Linked DNA regions of Elephas maximus indicus. The protein of the gene in region 1 interacts with the protein of each later gene in a pairwise test. Links are inferred from orthologs where the notes say so. Each region holds a gene or a part of one and is shown in the gene's direction. Other genes may lie near its edges.

Region 1 (7,327 bases):
ATAAGCAAGGAATGAAAGTCATTCAGCTATAAAAATAGGCAAAGGGCACTACAAAGAAATATCAAAAGCTAATGCTAAGAAAGGTGATGTAGTAAGTTCAAATGCATGTCATTCCATGAATATCAATCAGCAATCCCCCACTGTGAGCATCTGATGATAATGTGGCTACCACATAATTACCACAGCACAGTAGAAATACTGTAGCACTTGGTTTTGTAATACATTATATTTAAGGATCCCCGGTGGCACAGTGGTTAAGGAGCTACTACAGCTAACCAAAAGGTTGACAGTTCAAATCTGCCAGCAACTCCTTGGAAACCCTGTGGGGCAGTTCTACTCTGTTCTATAGGGTCACTATGAGTCTAAATCGGCTTGACGGCAATCGGTTTGGTTTGTTTTTTCCGAATCAAAAGATGGTAGAAATCACAGTTTCACTAGGTCATCATTTTTATTTGTGGAACGCTATAGGAGCACTGGTGGCACAGTGGTTCAGCAGCTCAGCTGCTAATCAAAAGGTCGGCAGTTCAAAAACCCACCAGCCACTCCATGAGAGAAAGATGTGACAGTCCGCTTTTGCAAAGATTTACAGCCTTGGAAACCCTATGGGGCAGTTCTACTCTGTCCTATAGGATCACTATGAGTCAGAATCAACTCAATGGCACACAACAACATAAACCTGTATACTTGTGTACGTACTGGGTGATACTGTGGAATTGATTATTAGCAGTTGTCTTCATCCTATAGTGCTAAAAGTGAGATTAATGTAGAAGTTAAACAGAAAGTAGAAAAAAATAATTTTTTCCCATTTTTATTTGTAATTATCTAACCAAACAGCAAATTGGTGAGCTCTTGTCTTATTTCCATGGTCGTGTCCTTTTGCTCTCACCAGACCTACTTCTTTTTGATGGGTTCTTTGTGCTTAAAAATAATTGTAGTTGCTCTAATTTTTACAGAAAAGACAACTGATGGTAAATATTTTACCAATGGTCAAGAGGTAGATTGTACTAAATCAGTAGGTGGTATCTATGAAGAGAATCTATTCGTTGGGTTCCCTTATCTAGTATTATTTCTGGAATTACCCTCATTGGATAATCACTTAGCTACTTTCCTGAATATTTTCCCATCTCTGTGCCAAACAACATAACCAGCAAAGCTGTTCACACATCAATTCATTTTGAAATAAATTAAAAAGACCAGGACTGGCTCAGCTCTGTAATCTATTTTTGTACACCAGAATTTGTATGAGTAAAAATGCATTCTGAGATTAGCCATAATCCACTCTGTCCTATAGGATCACTATGAGTCAGAATCAACTCAATGGCACACAACAACATAAACCTGTATACTTGTGTGCATACTGGGTGATACTGTGGAATTGATTATTAGCAGTTGGAGTATTAATAGGAGTATTAATAATCTGTGAAGTTCAGAGGTGTTAGCCCAGAAACTAAAGAGTTGAGATGAAATCAGAAACCACTGATGAATGAATGAAAAATCCTGGGTTTTTCATTTCAAATTTCTCCATGAGACAAAAATTACAAAGATTAATAGTAAAGAAAGTAATGAAGTCATGCGGGCAGAAACAGGAGACGATCATTGAATTGTGCACTTCCTTAAAAAACTCAAGAAAATTCTTGTTCTGGCTAATTCCTGCACCTCGAGCTCCTCTCTCTTGTCTCTTTGCTCTTTTCATAATCCCTGTTATAAACTTTTCACATGGCCACATCTGTATTTACAGCAAGAGAGAAAGCTATATATCAAAATAATAGCTACCTTTTATTATGGTCTTGCCATATGTCAGGCACTTTCCAAAGGCTTTATAGGAATTATGATCACTTGATCGTCATACCAACCCCTTAGAGTGGCATCATTAGTCTCATTTTACAGTTGAGACACAGGGACTAACAGGGATTTAGAGAAGGTCAGTGACTTGCTCAGAGCCCCAGAGTTAGTGAAGCAGCAGACTGGGGATTAGAAAACAGAGTTTGAGCATATATGGCTGCAGAAACCAGGTCCGTGGGATGTAAAACCTCCTGTATTTGAACACTGTTTGAGAGTCATCAGGTGTCATAGTCATGGGGCTGTTGATTTTAACTTATTTAAAATAACATTTTTTTGGATTGAATTTTGTTTCCGCTTTTTAAAAACTCATCCCTTTGAAATCAGAGGTTTCAAAATTATGTGCCCTCCCCCTCTTTCTGTTGAGTTTTCAACCTTTTTCAGATGTAGCTAGCATCTGGGCAGCTTAGAGAAGTGGTTATGAGTGTAGGTTCTAGATTCAATTCTTTCATCTGTGAAATGGGGATAATAATAGTACCTACCTCATGAGGTTTTGTAAAGACTAAGAGAGATATTGTATCTCATGTACTTAACACAGCGATAATAATAATAACCAACCCAAGTAGTGTTTACTATGTGGCAGGCACAATTCTAAGAACTTTACATGGAATAACTCTTTAACACTCAAAGTGACTCTATAAGGGAGATACTCTCATTATTCCCATTTTACAGATAAGAAACCAAGGCAAAGAGAGGTTAAGAAACTTGCCAAAGAGCCAGGATTCCAATTCAGAGTTCATGCTCCTAACCACAACACTATATGTCCCCTCCTGTACATACCTGTACCTATACTTATTGCCGTCAAGTCGATCCTGACTCATAATGACCCTATAGGACAGAACAGAACTACCCCACAGAGTTTCCAAGGAGCACATGGTGGATTCGAACTGCCAACCTTTTGGTTAGCAGCCATGGCTCTTAACCACTATGCCACCAGGGTTTCCATACTGTACATACAGGAAGTGTTAAATAAATGTTAACTCTCTAGACAGCTCACCAGAGACTAGTTGAGGAGAGACCTTTCCAATTTAAGTTATTTAATCACTAAGAGGTCAGCCTGGATTATGAAGTTCTCTCCACAGGGTCGGAAGGCTGCAGTTTGCTGTTGGGTAGTAAGTGCATAGTCATTAGCCTTTCACCAAGGCTGGCCTGGAAGACAAGCTCTGCAAGCGTCCAGAGTGAAGCACTACGGCTGGAATTGGGGAGCTCTGGACCAGCAGTCAAAAGCCCAATGTTCTAGTCCTGACTTTGCCACACATTTGTTATGTAACCTTGAGCAAGTCATTTAAGCTACCTGAGCTTCAATGTCTCTGTAAACCAAGGGGAAACAGGACAGAAGGATTGAAAGAGCTCTTTCCCACCCTCAGATTTCACGATTCTATGACTACATGAGGAGCCCTGGTGGCACAGCAGTTAAGCACTTGGCTGTTAACTGGAAGGCTAGTGGTTGAAACCCATCCAGTGGCTCCGTCTCCGCAGCAGAAAGACCTAGCGATCCGTTCCCATAAAGATTACAGCCTAGGAAACCCTGCGGGGCAGGTCTACTCTGTCACATGAGGTTGCTATAATCAGAATCAACTCAATAACAACAACAACACCATGAGTACAAAGTCTGATAGCAGAAACAAGGTAAATACCCCTGGTCCGAAATAAGTGTCCCTATTAAAACGCCAGTGGTACAATGTACTAGCATGCTATTCATACTTCATACCTAGGGTGAAAAAAAAAAACCTCAAAAACCAAACCCATTGCCATCGAATCAATTCTGACTCATAGGTACCCTGTAGAACAGAGTAGAACTGCCCCATAAGGTTTCCAAGGAGCAGCTGGTGGGTTCAAACTGCCAACCTTTTGACTAGCAGCCATAGCAGCCAACCACTGTTACCCCTAGGGTGAAGGGGTTTATAACTGCTATTTTCTTGATATCCATGAAGCATAAGAAAATGATTTGAAAAGCACTAAAAAAAAGAATCTGATGATGCTGAAGACAAACTTTTTAAGTGTCATGACTTTTTTCAAGAATCAATAGTGATTGCTGCCTATATCCAATTGTGCTGGTTTATTCCCAACAAAAATTCCTTTTGACCGCATGGGGCCTAAGGTACTCTAAGCTTCCAGAAGGACAAAAATGAACTAGGGAATCTCAAGCATATTATTCTCAAAGAACAAAAGAATCAACTTAATAGACCATAAGTGAATTATCTACTTTTCCAATTACTGACAAAAAATTTCAAACCTTCAGCTGCCTTTCTTGCTATTCAATTGTATTCTCGGCCCCTGTTTATTACTTCTCTGCTTGCTGCTGTAACAGGTTATCTCAAATGTAGTGGTTTAATACAACACAAATTTATTAGCTGACAGTTCTGTAGATCAGAAGCCCAACTGCAGTCTCATTGAACTAAGGTCAAGCTTTGACAGAGCTGCGTTTCCTTCTAGAGACTCTAGAGAGAAATCCATTTTCTTGCTTTTTCCAGCTTCTAGAGGCAACTTTCCTTGGCTCATGGCCCCTTCCTCCATCTCCAAAGCCAGCAACGTAGTATCTCTCTGACCCTGCTTCCATTATCACCTCTCTTTCTCTGACTCTCTTCTTCTGTCTCCCTCTTTTACTTCTAAGGAAACTTGTGATTATACTGGGCCCACCAAAATAATCCAGGATAATCACCTTATTTTAAGGTCAGCTAATTAGGAACCTTAATTCTGTCTGCAACCTAAATTCCTCTCTGCTATGCAATCTAACATATTCACAGGTTCTGGGGATTAAAACATGGACATCTTTGCAGGACATTATTCTGACAGCCACAGCCCCTTCCCTCTTACCAATATTCTTCAGATATAATGAACTTGAGTAATGTCAATATATATATATATATATAAATATGTTTCAATACCCATTGCCATTGAGTTGATTCCAACTTACCCCAAACCCAGTGCCGTCGAGTCGATTCTGACTCATTTTTTGGTTTTTTTCCAACTTACAGCGACCCTATAGGGAAAAGTAGAACTGCCTGCCCATAGGGTTTCCAAAGAGAGGTTGGTGGATTCGAACTGCCGACCTTTTGGTTAGCAGTCATAGCTTTTATCCACTGCACCACCAGGGCTCCATATACAGGAATTGGAAAATGCCAAGAATTTATTCAGTTTCCTTTCTGATAAATGTATCATTTTTGGTATGTTTCATAGAATCTAGGACACATTTGTATCACCCAAGCCAACAACTCAAACTAGAATGAGTGAAACTGCAGCCAATCCATATCCACCAATAAATACTATGGCTTCTTGGTCTCAACAACCTCCGGGTGTAATAAACCCAGTAAATCAAGCTCCAGGCAGTCAGCCTCCTTTCGTCACTTCTCCCGGAATCTACAGTAGCTTTCAGCATGACCAAGCAAATATACAGATGGTAAATTCTGCTACAGGAACAGAGGCAATCAACTTTAAAGAAGAAGCACAGATACTAGGGGTAAGTCTACGTACTACTGGAATTTTACTTCTGCATTTACAAGGTTGTATTGTACCTACAAGTTACAGGTGGAGAAAGTTTATGATCATCGTTACATACTGCCCAAAAATTAAAAAGCTCAGGTCGAAATGATGACTTTGCATATATACTCTACACTGAGATCGTTTTATTTTAGATTCAGGCAAGAACGTAACAGGTGGCAAAGAACTCCTCCTAGCAGGACGATGCCATAATATTAACACTGGGAACACCACTATGTCTAACTTGATCTCACTTCAGCAAAGGACACTGTGGGCACCTTCAATCCTATCTCTGGATTGGTTACAAGCCTGGTGCTTGTATGTGAGTGAAATCACATTAAAATGAACATCCATGGATGCCTTAAAAGGCGAGGTACTGAAAATGGACCTTCTCCCAGGAAGGTTGGGTGTGAAAAAAATCAATGGCCATTCAATCCCCAGTGTCTTTGGAGATGTTATAACTTAACTACCACCCTGGTGGCCTGGTAGTACAATGGTTAAGTACTCAGCTGCTAATGGAAAGGTTGGTGGTTCGAACCCATCCCACAGCTTCTATAGGACAGAGTAGAACTGCCCCCACAGAGTTTCCAAGGAGTGCCTGGTGGATTTGAACTGCCGACCCTTTGGTTAGCAGCCGTAGCACTTAACTGCTATGCCACCAGGGTTTTCCTATAAAGATTACAGCCTAGAAAACCCTATGGGGCAGTTCTACTCTGTCACCTGAGGTCACCATGAGTCGAAATTGACTGGATGGCACCCAACAGCAACAACTAACACCTCACTTCTGCAAGGGGCACATTGAACAACCACCGTCTTGTCTCTTCAGGCATTGTGAAACGGGCCGTACTTATAGGCAAGAACTCCACCAGCCTAGGTAATGTTGTTAGTCCCTTTGCGGTGCAGGTGCCTCATCCGTACCACTATCACAATTGCACTAAGCCTCTCCCTGTGTGCATTTCTAACCTCTTAGCTGGAGCCTTCAGGAAATTACATGGAGTGTCCATAATGTGCCAGGCACGCTTCTGGTGACCTTACTACCTAGCTCAAGTGTTACAGTTTTAGGAAAGCAAAAATAAGCACAGGTTTAAGCTTTGGACAGGGAAGCAGCCCCTCAGTCACATGGGTAAGAGAGGCCTTCAGTTGGATCCTCCGCCTACCAGATAGAGAAAAATAGGCAGAATCCTCTGCTTCTGTTGAGCAAATGAGACAAACTAGAACCCCATATGGAGCCCTGGTGGCACAGTGGTTAAGAGCAAGGCTGCTAACCAAAATGTGGGTAGTTCGAACCCACCAGGTGCAGCCGGTTCCACACAGGTGTTAAGGAATATTTCAGAGACTATAAAACAGACACAACCTCTGTCCTCATGGAGCCTACAACCTAGTGGGGGAAATCAGACTATAAAGATAATGAACAATGAAATGGCATAGTGTGTTTAAAAAAAAAAAAAAAATCCTTGCCATCAAGTCAATTCCTACTCATAGTGACCCTATAGAACAGAGTAGAACTGCCCCACAGAATTTCCAAGGCTGTAATCTTTAGGGGGAGCCCTGGTGGCCAGTGGTCAAGAACTATGGCAAGCTACGGCTGCTAACCAAAAGATCGGCAGTTCGGATCCACCAGCCACTCCTTGGAAACCGTATGTTGCAGTTCTACTCTGTCCTATTGGGTCACTATGAGTCAGAACTGACTAGACGGCAAGGTGTTAATCTTTACAGAAGCAGACTGCCACATCTTCCTCCCGTCCTCCCACGGAGAGGCTGGTGGGTTCCAACTGCCGACCTTTCAGTTAACAGCCAAGTGTGTTTAAAAAAAAAAACGCCCATTGCAGGAAGTGTGTAAAAGACAAGAAGTGCCACACAGTGAGGGCATAATAATTTAAGGTTGGTCATGGTTGGCCAACTTCCTTAAAGATGACATTTGAGCAAAGACTTGAAGGAAGTGAGGGGCAAGTCACACAGATAGCAGGGAAGAGTTCCCAAGCAGAGTGACCAGCCAGCGTAAAGGTCT
Region 2 (8,236 bases), on another chromosome or scaffold:
AGCTGGTCTATATGAAGAAGAACGGGGCATCAGGATTGGAGGAAGACTCATGAACAACCTGCATTATGCAGATGACACAACCTTGCTTGCTGAAGGTGAAGAGGACTTGAAGCACTTACTAATGAAGATCAAAGGCCACAGCCTTCAGTATGGATTGCGCCTCAACATAAAGAAAACAAAATTCCTCACAACTGGACCAATGAGCAACATCATGATAAACAGAGAAAAAATCGAAGTTATCAAGGATTTAATTTTACCTGGATCCACAATCAACAACCATGGAAGCAGCAGTCAAAAAATCAAAAGACGCATTGCGTTGGGTAAATCTGCTGCAAAGGACCTCTTTAAAATGTTGAAGAGCAAAGATGTCACCTTGAAGACTAAGGTGCGCCTGACACAAGCCATGGTATTTTCAATCGCATCATATCCATATGAAAGCTGGACAATGAATAAAGAAGACAGAAGAAGAATTGACACCTTTGAATTGTGGTGTTGGCGAAGAATATTGAATATACCCATGGACTGCCAAAAGAAGGAACAAATCTGTCTTGGAAGAAGTACAACCAGAATGCTCCTTAGAATCGAGGATGGCGAGACTGCATCTTACATACTTTGGACATGTTGTCAGGAGAGATCAATCCCTGGAGAAGGACATCATGCTTGGCAGAGTACAGGGTCAGCGGAAAAGGGGAAGAGCCTCAAAGAGGTGGCCTGACACAGTGGCTGCAACCATGAGTTCAAGCATAACAGCGACTGTAAGGATGGCTCAGCACCGGGCAGTGTTTCATTCTGTTGTGCATAGGGTCACTGTGAGTCGGAACCGCTATGAGATGGCACCTAACAACAACAACAACATATCTGGAATGTCTGTCTCCCCAATCAACTATCAGCTCCCTGAGGGTGGGGCCCTGTCTACTGTTCGGGGCTCTGTCTCCCGTGCCTGGTGCAGCTGAGGTGTTCACTAAACATTTGCTCAGTGCCTGAATTCCCACTCTCTCCAGCATGCCCCACCCCTGCCCCCAACCCATAGGAGGCAGGCCCAGCACACAGTAAGGGCTTAGCAAACACAGAGTAGGGACTGCAGAATTGACAAGAACTGAGACCAGACACGTGCTGCAGGTGAACTTTGTGGGCATGGTCTACTGAGACCCCGCGGAGGGGACCATCCCTGGGAGTAGACAGGTCTCCTCATCCTTGGCATTCTGCCTCCTCCCCCAGGAATCCAGGACCTTCCATGGTACCAGTGAAGATTCTGGGTGGGAGGCTGGCTCCAGCCTGGGACAGGTTCCTGGCTCCTTCCCACTTTTTCTGACCGGGGGCGAGTAAAGTTGGTTTGGAAGAAAATGTTGAAGTGGAAAACAGTGCAGTGATTCAGTCTTGCTTTCTGCCATTTGAAAGGAATGAAAGTGGGATTAACCAAAAAAACAAAATCCAAACCAGAGCCAAAGAAAAACAAAACAAAAAAAGAGTCAAAAACATCCCACTGTTTTAGAATGTGCCTCAGAAACAGTCAACTTATTGTTTCCTGTGTCATAATAATATCAAGGGCCCACCAGGGGTTTGCTCTGCCCTTGGACTCAGTCAGCAGAGGTTGGCCTCTGGGTAACAACTTTGTAGTTACCAAGTTGCACTCCTTATTTCTAGAGCACCTACTATATATGTGTGTGGGTGTCTGGGGTAGGGGGGCAGGCAATGGATTGGTAAGGGTGTCCAGGTGCATGGGAGGAAGGGGCTGAACATTCAGCTGAGTGGATAAAGCATAGCAGCTGAGCTCCTAACCCACCGTGTCACCAGGGCTCCAAAACTCTCCAGGCCTTAAAACAAAACGTTAAGCCCCTCCAGTAGTGCAGTGCTAGCGGTTGCCTCTTAGTGACCCAATGTGCCAGAGTAGAACTGCCCCATAGGGTTTCCTAGGTTGTAATCTTTCAGGGTGCAGATCACCAAGTCTTTTTTTCCCCCATAGCTAATGGTAGGTTAGAACCACCAACCTTTGGTTAGCAGCTAAGGGCTTAATCATTGCGCTCCCCGGGCTCCTTCTCCAGCATTGTAGTGGCTGATTAATGGCCACTTGAAGATATCAGATCCTAATCTCTGTAATCTCTACATTTTACCTCATAAGAAAAAGGGGCTTTGCAGATGTGATTAAATTAAGGATTTTGGCACTGGAAGATTCTCCTGTATTTTCTGGGTGTGCCGTAAATCCAAAAGCAAGTTTTCTTGTAAGAGGGAGGCAAAGGGAGATTTGATACACACAGAAGAGGAGGAGGCCATGTGACCGTAAAGGCAGATATTTGAATGACGTGGCCACAAACCAAGGAGTGTTGGCAGCCACCAGAAGCAGGAAGAGGCAAGAAGCATTCTCCCCTAGAGCCTCAGGAGGAAGCACGGCCCCACTGAGACCATGGTGTCGGCTCAGTGAAACTGATTTCGGACTTCCAGCCTCCAGAACCGTGAGACAATAAATGTGTGTTGTTTTAAGCCACCAAATTTGTCGTAAGTTATTACAGCAGCCTCAGGAAACCAAAAAAAAAAAAAAACTGGTCACCAAGTCAGTTCCGACTCATGGTGACCCCACATGCATCAGGATACACCCGTACTCCATGAAGTTTTCAGTGGCTGATTTTTTGGAAGTAGATCACCAGGCCTTTCTTCCAAGATGCCTCTGGGTGGATTCTCACCACTAACCTAGCCTAGCATTTAACCATTTATGCCGCCCAGGATGCCCATGACACTAATATAATAATCTTAAACAACCCTGTGTGGCCTGGCCCCTGCCCCGTGTCTGATCTCTTCCTCACTCATTTTACCCCACACTGAGCAGGGACTTACTTTCTATTCCTCGAGTTGACTATCCTGGTCTAGCCTCAGGGCTTTGGTACATGCTAAGTATTTTCCTCCCAGCCCTATTGAAGACTGGCCCCTACTAATGATTCAGGCTTCTGTATAAATGTCTTCTTCTCTCAGAGGTCTTTCTTGACTGTCTACCTAAAAATTGCCTCCAGGTCACTCTGTCACATTTCTGTTCAATTTGTCATAGCATTTATCACTATCAGAAATTTTTTTTTCTCCCTGGTTTGCTACCTGACAACCCTCCCCCCCCCACACACACACTAGAAAGAAAGTGGGATTCGAGAGGGCTTTCTGGCTCGTTCCCTGCTGTATCTCCAGGGCCCGGAATAGGACCTGACATAGTAAGTGCTCAGCAAACACTGGTTGATGAATAAACGAATTATCTGTGCAAGCTGCTATGAGCAATGGGTCAGTATGCGTGTGTCCATCAGTCCATGCATAGGAGTTTTAGGGTGCAGGTGGAGCAATGAAACCCCCAATATCACCTTCCACCCTCTGAGTGTGCCCCCTACAGGTGCCAGGGCCTGTCCTGGGAACTTTTTTTTTTCATCTGTTTTATTATTTTCATACTTTAGATGAAGCTTCTCATTAAACAGTACACATATTGTTTTGTGACATCAGTTACCAACCTGACAACTCTCCCTTCTTGACCTTGGGTTGCCCATTACTAGCTTTCCTGTCCCCTCCTGCCTTCTAGTCCTTGCCCCTGGGCTGGTGTGCCCCATTAGTCTCGTTTTGTTTTATGGGCCTGTTTAATCTTTGGCTGAAAGGTGAACCTCAGGAGTGACTTCATTAATGAGGTAAAAGCATGTCCGGGGGCCACACTCTTGGGGTTTCTCCAGTCTGTCAGGTCAGGAAGTCTGGTCTTTTTTTGTGAGTTAGAATTTTGTTCTACATTTTTCTCCAGCTGTATGTGGGACCCTCTATTGTGATCCCTGTCAGAGCAGTTGGTGGTGGTAGCTGGGTACCATCTAGTTGTACTGGACTCAGACCGGTAGAGGCTGTGGTAGTTCTAGTCCATTAATCCTCTGGACTAATCTTTCCTTTATGTTTTTAGTTTTCTTCATTCTCCATTGCTCCAGATGGGTGAGACCAGTGGAGTAACTTAGATGGGCGCTCATAAGCTTTTAAGACCCAGATGCTACTCACCAAAGTAGAACGCAGAACATTTTCTTTATAAGCTACATTATGTCAGCAGACCCAGATGTTCCCCTGGACCATGGCCCCCACAGCCCTCAGCCCAGTAATTCGGTCCCTCAGGGAGGCTGGATGTGTCTATGGAAACCCTGGTGTCTAGTGGTTAAGTACTAGGCTGCAAACCAAAAGGTCGGCGGTTGGAATTCAGGCGCTCCTTGGAAACCCTACCGGGCGGTTCTACTGTGTCATATAGGGTTGCTGTGAGTTGGAATGGACTTGTCAGCAAAGGGCTTGGGTTTTTTTTTTTTTTTTTTTTGACTCCTTTTTTTTATGAGATTAGCAGGATGGGGTACTGGGCCCTTCCTTGAAGCTGAGAAGATGGGAGCCGGGTGTGTTTAAGTTCACCCAGAACATGAGCGCCAGAGTTGGGACTAGAGCCAGTGTGTCAGGAAGGACATCCAGGTAGTAGTGAGGACCCTCACTTCAGGCTGTCCCCCTTTCTTATGGAGCTTCCAACACCTTGTCTTGTACAAGTTGTGCTGGCTTCCTGTCCTGGGAACTTTCCACGGAATATCTCATTTATTCGTCCCATCAGCTTTGTGAGGTTAGGTCCCTTCATATACCTATTTTACAGGGGAGAAAACAGAGTCTCCCGTCTTCAAAGTTACTGTTCAGTATGTTCAGAAGCGAAAAACCACATCAAGTCACAAAAGACCCCTCCCTCTGCACGCCCACATTTTATGCAGACTCCTTCTCCCCGGAGCTCCGTCTCCCCAGGAACTCTGTAGGAGTAGCTGGACAGGGATGCTGATCCCATTTTACCGAGAGAGAGCGTTCCAGAAAGGCGCAGGGGTGTGTCCGAGGGCGCTCTGCGGGCCGCGACTAGTTTAGCCCGATACATCGAAGTTGCGGGCCAGGAGGGCCCGGAGGAGCGGCGAAAGACGCGACAAGTAAGGATAAATTCCCAGGAGGCAGCTTTCCCGGGAGAAGAACCGTGCGGCTCCTCTGGAGAAGCCGTCCCGCTGACCGCGGCCTCAGTTTCCCTGTCTATAAAGTGGTTGCCGGCGGCGAGCAAAGGGTTAAAGGGACGGGTGTCGCCGGAGGGGCGGGGCCCGGACTGCGGGCTGCACCTGGCGGCTCCCAGCTCCCCGCCCCGAAGTTGCGCGCAGAGCTGGGAGCAGCAGCGGGAGCCGGAGGCCCAGGGGAGGAGCGGCTCGGAGCGGGCACCCACGGCGGGAGGAGCGGCGGCTGGAGCAACCTAGCTAGGCGAACGGAGCCGCCATGGCCGAGTTCCCGTCTAAAGTGAGCACGCGAACGAGCAGCCCCGCGCAGGGCGCCGGCGCCTCCTCCTCGGCGCTGCGCCCAGACCTGGGCTTCGTGCGCTCCAGCATCGGTGCGCTCATGGTGCTGCAGCTGGTGAGGACGCGTGCGGGGCCGCGGGGCCGGGGCCGGGGGGTCCCGTCCGGGCTAAGAGGGGACTAACGGTCGGGAGCTCAGGGGCTGCGCGTCCTCGTAGAGGCTCACATGCGCACCGACGCGCCCTGCCTACCCCAGGGTTGCCTCTAGAACCGACGTCCCCAAAGCCTCCAGGCACCCTCTCACCAGAGATGCCCCGCTGCAATCCCAGCGAGCGCACGCACCGTGCACTTCGGAGACAGCCCCACTTTCCAACCCTTCATCTTTCCCCCGCCACTCACCATCACCATGGTGGTCACAGGCGGCCGCACTCTCAACAAACGCTCACGTTACAGTCACTGCGCAAGACACGCACACATTCTGCCAGGACAATGCCCCCCATCCAGCCCTCCAGAGGACCCAGCTCGAAGCAAAGTCCACTCTCGCTCCACCTGCTGAGCTCCCAGCGGCTCCGCGTGGCTGCCCACCCCCCCCCCCGCAACCCCCATCCCCGCCTAATCCAGAGGGCACATCCATTTCCCTAATACATACGCTTAGGCACGGTCTTGTGGGCGCCCTCGGGGTGGCCGGGTTCTTCTGGCTTCTACTGGATGACCTGCGAGTTTCAGCCAGTTTGGCTGGCCCCATGGAGCCGAGATACCGCGCTTGGGGCGGGAGCGGGGGCACGTTTGTGGGAAGCCAGACGCACGACAGCTTTACCTCTTAGGCCCCTACGTAGACCCTAGAAGAGGCGGACAGATGCGGACATTCTCTCTACCTTCCCCCATTAGTTTCACGCCAGGGGGTGTTAGCTTTCTTCCCACAACCCCTTTTGTGTGGGGGAGTCAGGAAGCTGGGTGATTGCCGCCGTGGGAGGCGTCCCCGGCAGCTGAGAGCCTGGGCCATTTTCAGAGGGCTAGGATGCAAATGGAGGTAGGCTAGGGTCTGTCTTCCTCTACAGTCCACCGAAAGGGCCTTTCCCGCTGCTCCCTTGCTGCTGGATCCTCCATCAAGGCTGCCAACCTCCGCCAGGATGGGGAGGGGATACGCTTGCTTGGTGCCGCTGGAATCTACCCCACCCCCCAGGTTGCCCACCTCCCTCTGGGTCTGTGCTGTCTGAATTTCTGAAATCCCTGTGGCCCCTCCCCACTCCAGCCACAGACTCTCCCTGAGAGGTTTGTTTAAATGCAGATTCTTGTATCCTACGTCTGGAAAACACGTGGAATTGGCATTTGAATATCAGCGAGAGCTGCTCGGAAATCTACATTTTAAATTCGTCTACCAGAGTAATTTTTTTGTTGAGATTCTCTGCCTTGGAGAGGGTTGCAGGGAGGCCCAGTTCCGGGACTAATATAAGTCTTCTTACTGGTGGGGAGAGGGAAACCCTGGTGGGTAGTGGTTAAGAGTACAGCTGCTAACCAAAAGGTTGGCAGTTCGAATCCACTAGGCGCTCCTTGGAAACCCAATGGGCAGTTCTACTCAGACCTTTAGGGTCACTATGCGTCAGAATCGACTTGATGGCAAAGGGTTTGGTCTGGGTTTTTTTGGTAGGGGTAGCCGCTGAGCACTGTGTGTGCTAGGCTGTGGGCTGGTCCGTGGGGCACAGTGGGAAAGTGTCAGGTGCTGCCTTCCTGAGCCCTGGTTTGAGGGGACAGCCCAGCATATATGGGCAGAGGAAGAAGAGAGAGAAATTCTGAGTCCAGGGGTGCTTCATGAAGGAGATGGCTTTTGAGCTGGTGCTTCACTGATAGCGAAATCTGGGGCAGAGGAGGGAAGGGCATTCCAAGGGTGGGGCACAGTGTGAGCCAGGGCTTGGAGGTGGGAAAGTTAAAGGGGAGTGGGGTGTAGTAAACAGGTTGGTGATGTTGGAGTTGAAGCACTTGTTTCTGGTGTAGCCAGAAGCTGAGAGCGAGGCCCTGGAGTACATCTGTGAGAAATAGGGATTTGGTTTTATTGGCAGACTTAGGTGGAGCCCTGGTGGCACAGTGGTTAAGCACTCTGCTGCTAACCAAAAGGTCAGAGGTTTGAACTCACCAGCAGCTCCACAGGAGAAAGATGTCTGCTTCTGTAAAGATTACAGCCTTGGAAACCCTATGGGGTAGTTCTACTCTGTCTTGTAGGGTTGCTATGAATCAGAATTGAATTGATGGCAACAGGACTTTTTAATTTTTTTCCTGACACTACAGCCTGCAAAGACCTTGGTAGCTTCCTTTGGAGCAAGCATGTGTTCCTGATTTGGGGGTCTCCTGCAGGCTCAGCAGCCCAGCCCTGAGCATCTGGGCCCCACTGAAAAGATGCGGACATTGAGGTCTAGGTAGAATGTAAGACTTGTCAGGGGTCCTTTGGTGCACCTTGGCATTTGTGTCTTCGGACCCCCAGAGACTGGGTGTGAGGGAGTGTGCTTCCTTTGCCTACCCCGCTCCCTGGCAGTGCTTTGGTGCCTGAGAGGTGAGGGACTCGGATCAGACTTCTGAAGACTCATACCTTCTAGAGCCTTTGCCAACCTTCTTGGTGGAGAAGCTGCTTCCTGAGTCATTTCTCTGGCAATGGACCAGTCTGCTGGATCTGAGACAGGGTGCACCCAACAAGCACCACCATCCACTAGGAAGCCATAATAGTAACAGCAGCTCCTACCAGTCAGGTGAGCACTGGGGTCCAGGCCTTTTGCCAAGGGCTTTATATTGCCCCCATTTTACAGGTGAGGAAACTGAGGCACAGAGGCCAGCTACTTGCCCAAGATCTCACAGTCTGAGAGTGGTAAAGCTGGAATTTAAGCTCAATGGTCTGCCTTTTATGGCCCATGCTTTTAATTACCACCCTCAGCTATGCTCCCAAGGGCCACAGGGCCCTGTGC

What was found. The genes of interacting proteins can lie anywhere in the genome.
Region 2: the proteins of MS4A12 (region 1) and PLLP interact in binary tests that used the Homo sapiens proteins (3 or more experiments, as listed by UniProt). The two-hybrid records come from large-scale screens. The link is inferred for Elephas maximus indicus from reciprocal best matches to the Homo sapiens genes MS4A12 and PLLP.

What each region holds. Positions count from the first base shown.
Region 1 is NC_064825.1:123,643,922-123,651,248, forward strand, and holds the start of MS4A12 (membrane-spanning 4-domains subfamily A member 12), read left to right. Parts: upstream 1-3,928; coding exon 3,929-3,940; intron 3,941-5,026; coding exon 5,027-5,299; intron 5,300-7,327. UniProt on the Homo sapiens protein: May be involved in signal transduction as a component of a multimeric receptor complex.
Region 2 is NC_064839.1:24,216,492-24,224,727, reverse strand, and holds the start of PLLP (plasmolipin), read left to right. Parts: upstream 1-5,135; 5' UTR 5,136-5,268; coding exon 5,269-5,403; intron 5,404-8,236. UniProt on the Homo sapiens protein: Main component of the myelin sheath that plays an important role in myelin membrane biogenesis and myelination. Plays an essential function in apical endocytosis. Regulates epithelial development through the regulation of apical endocytosis.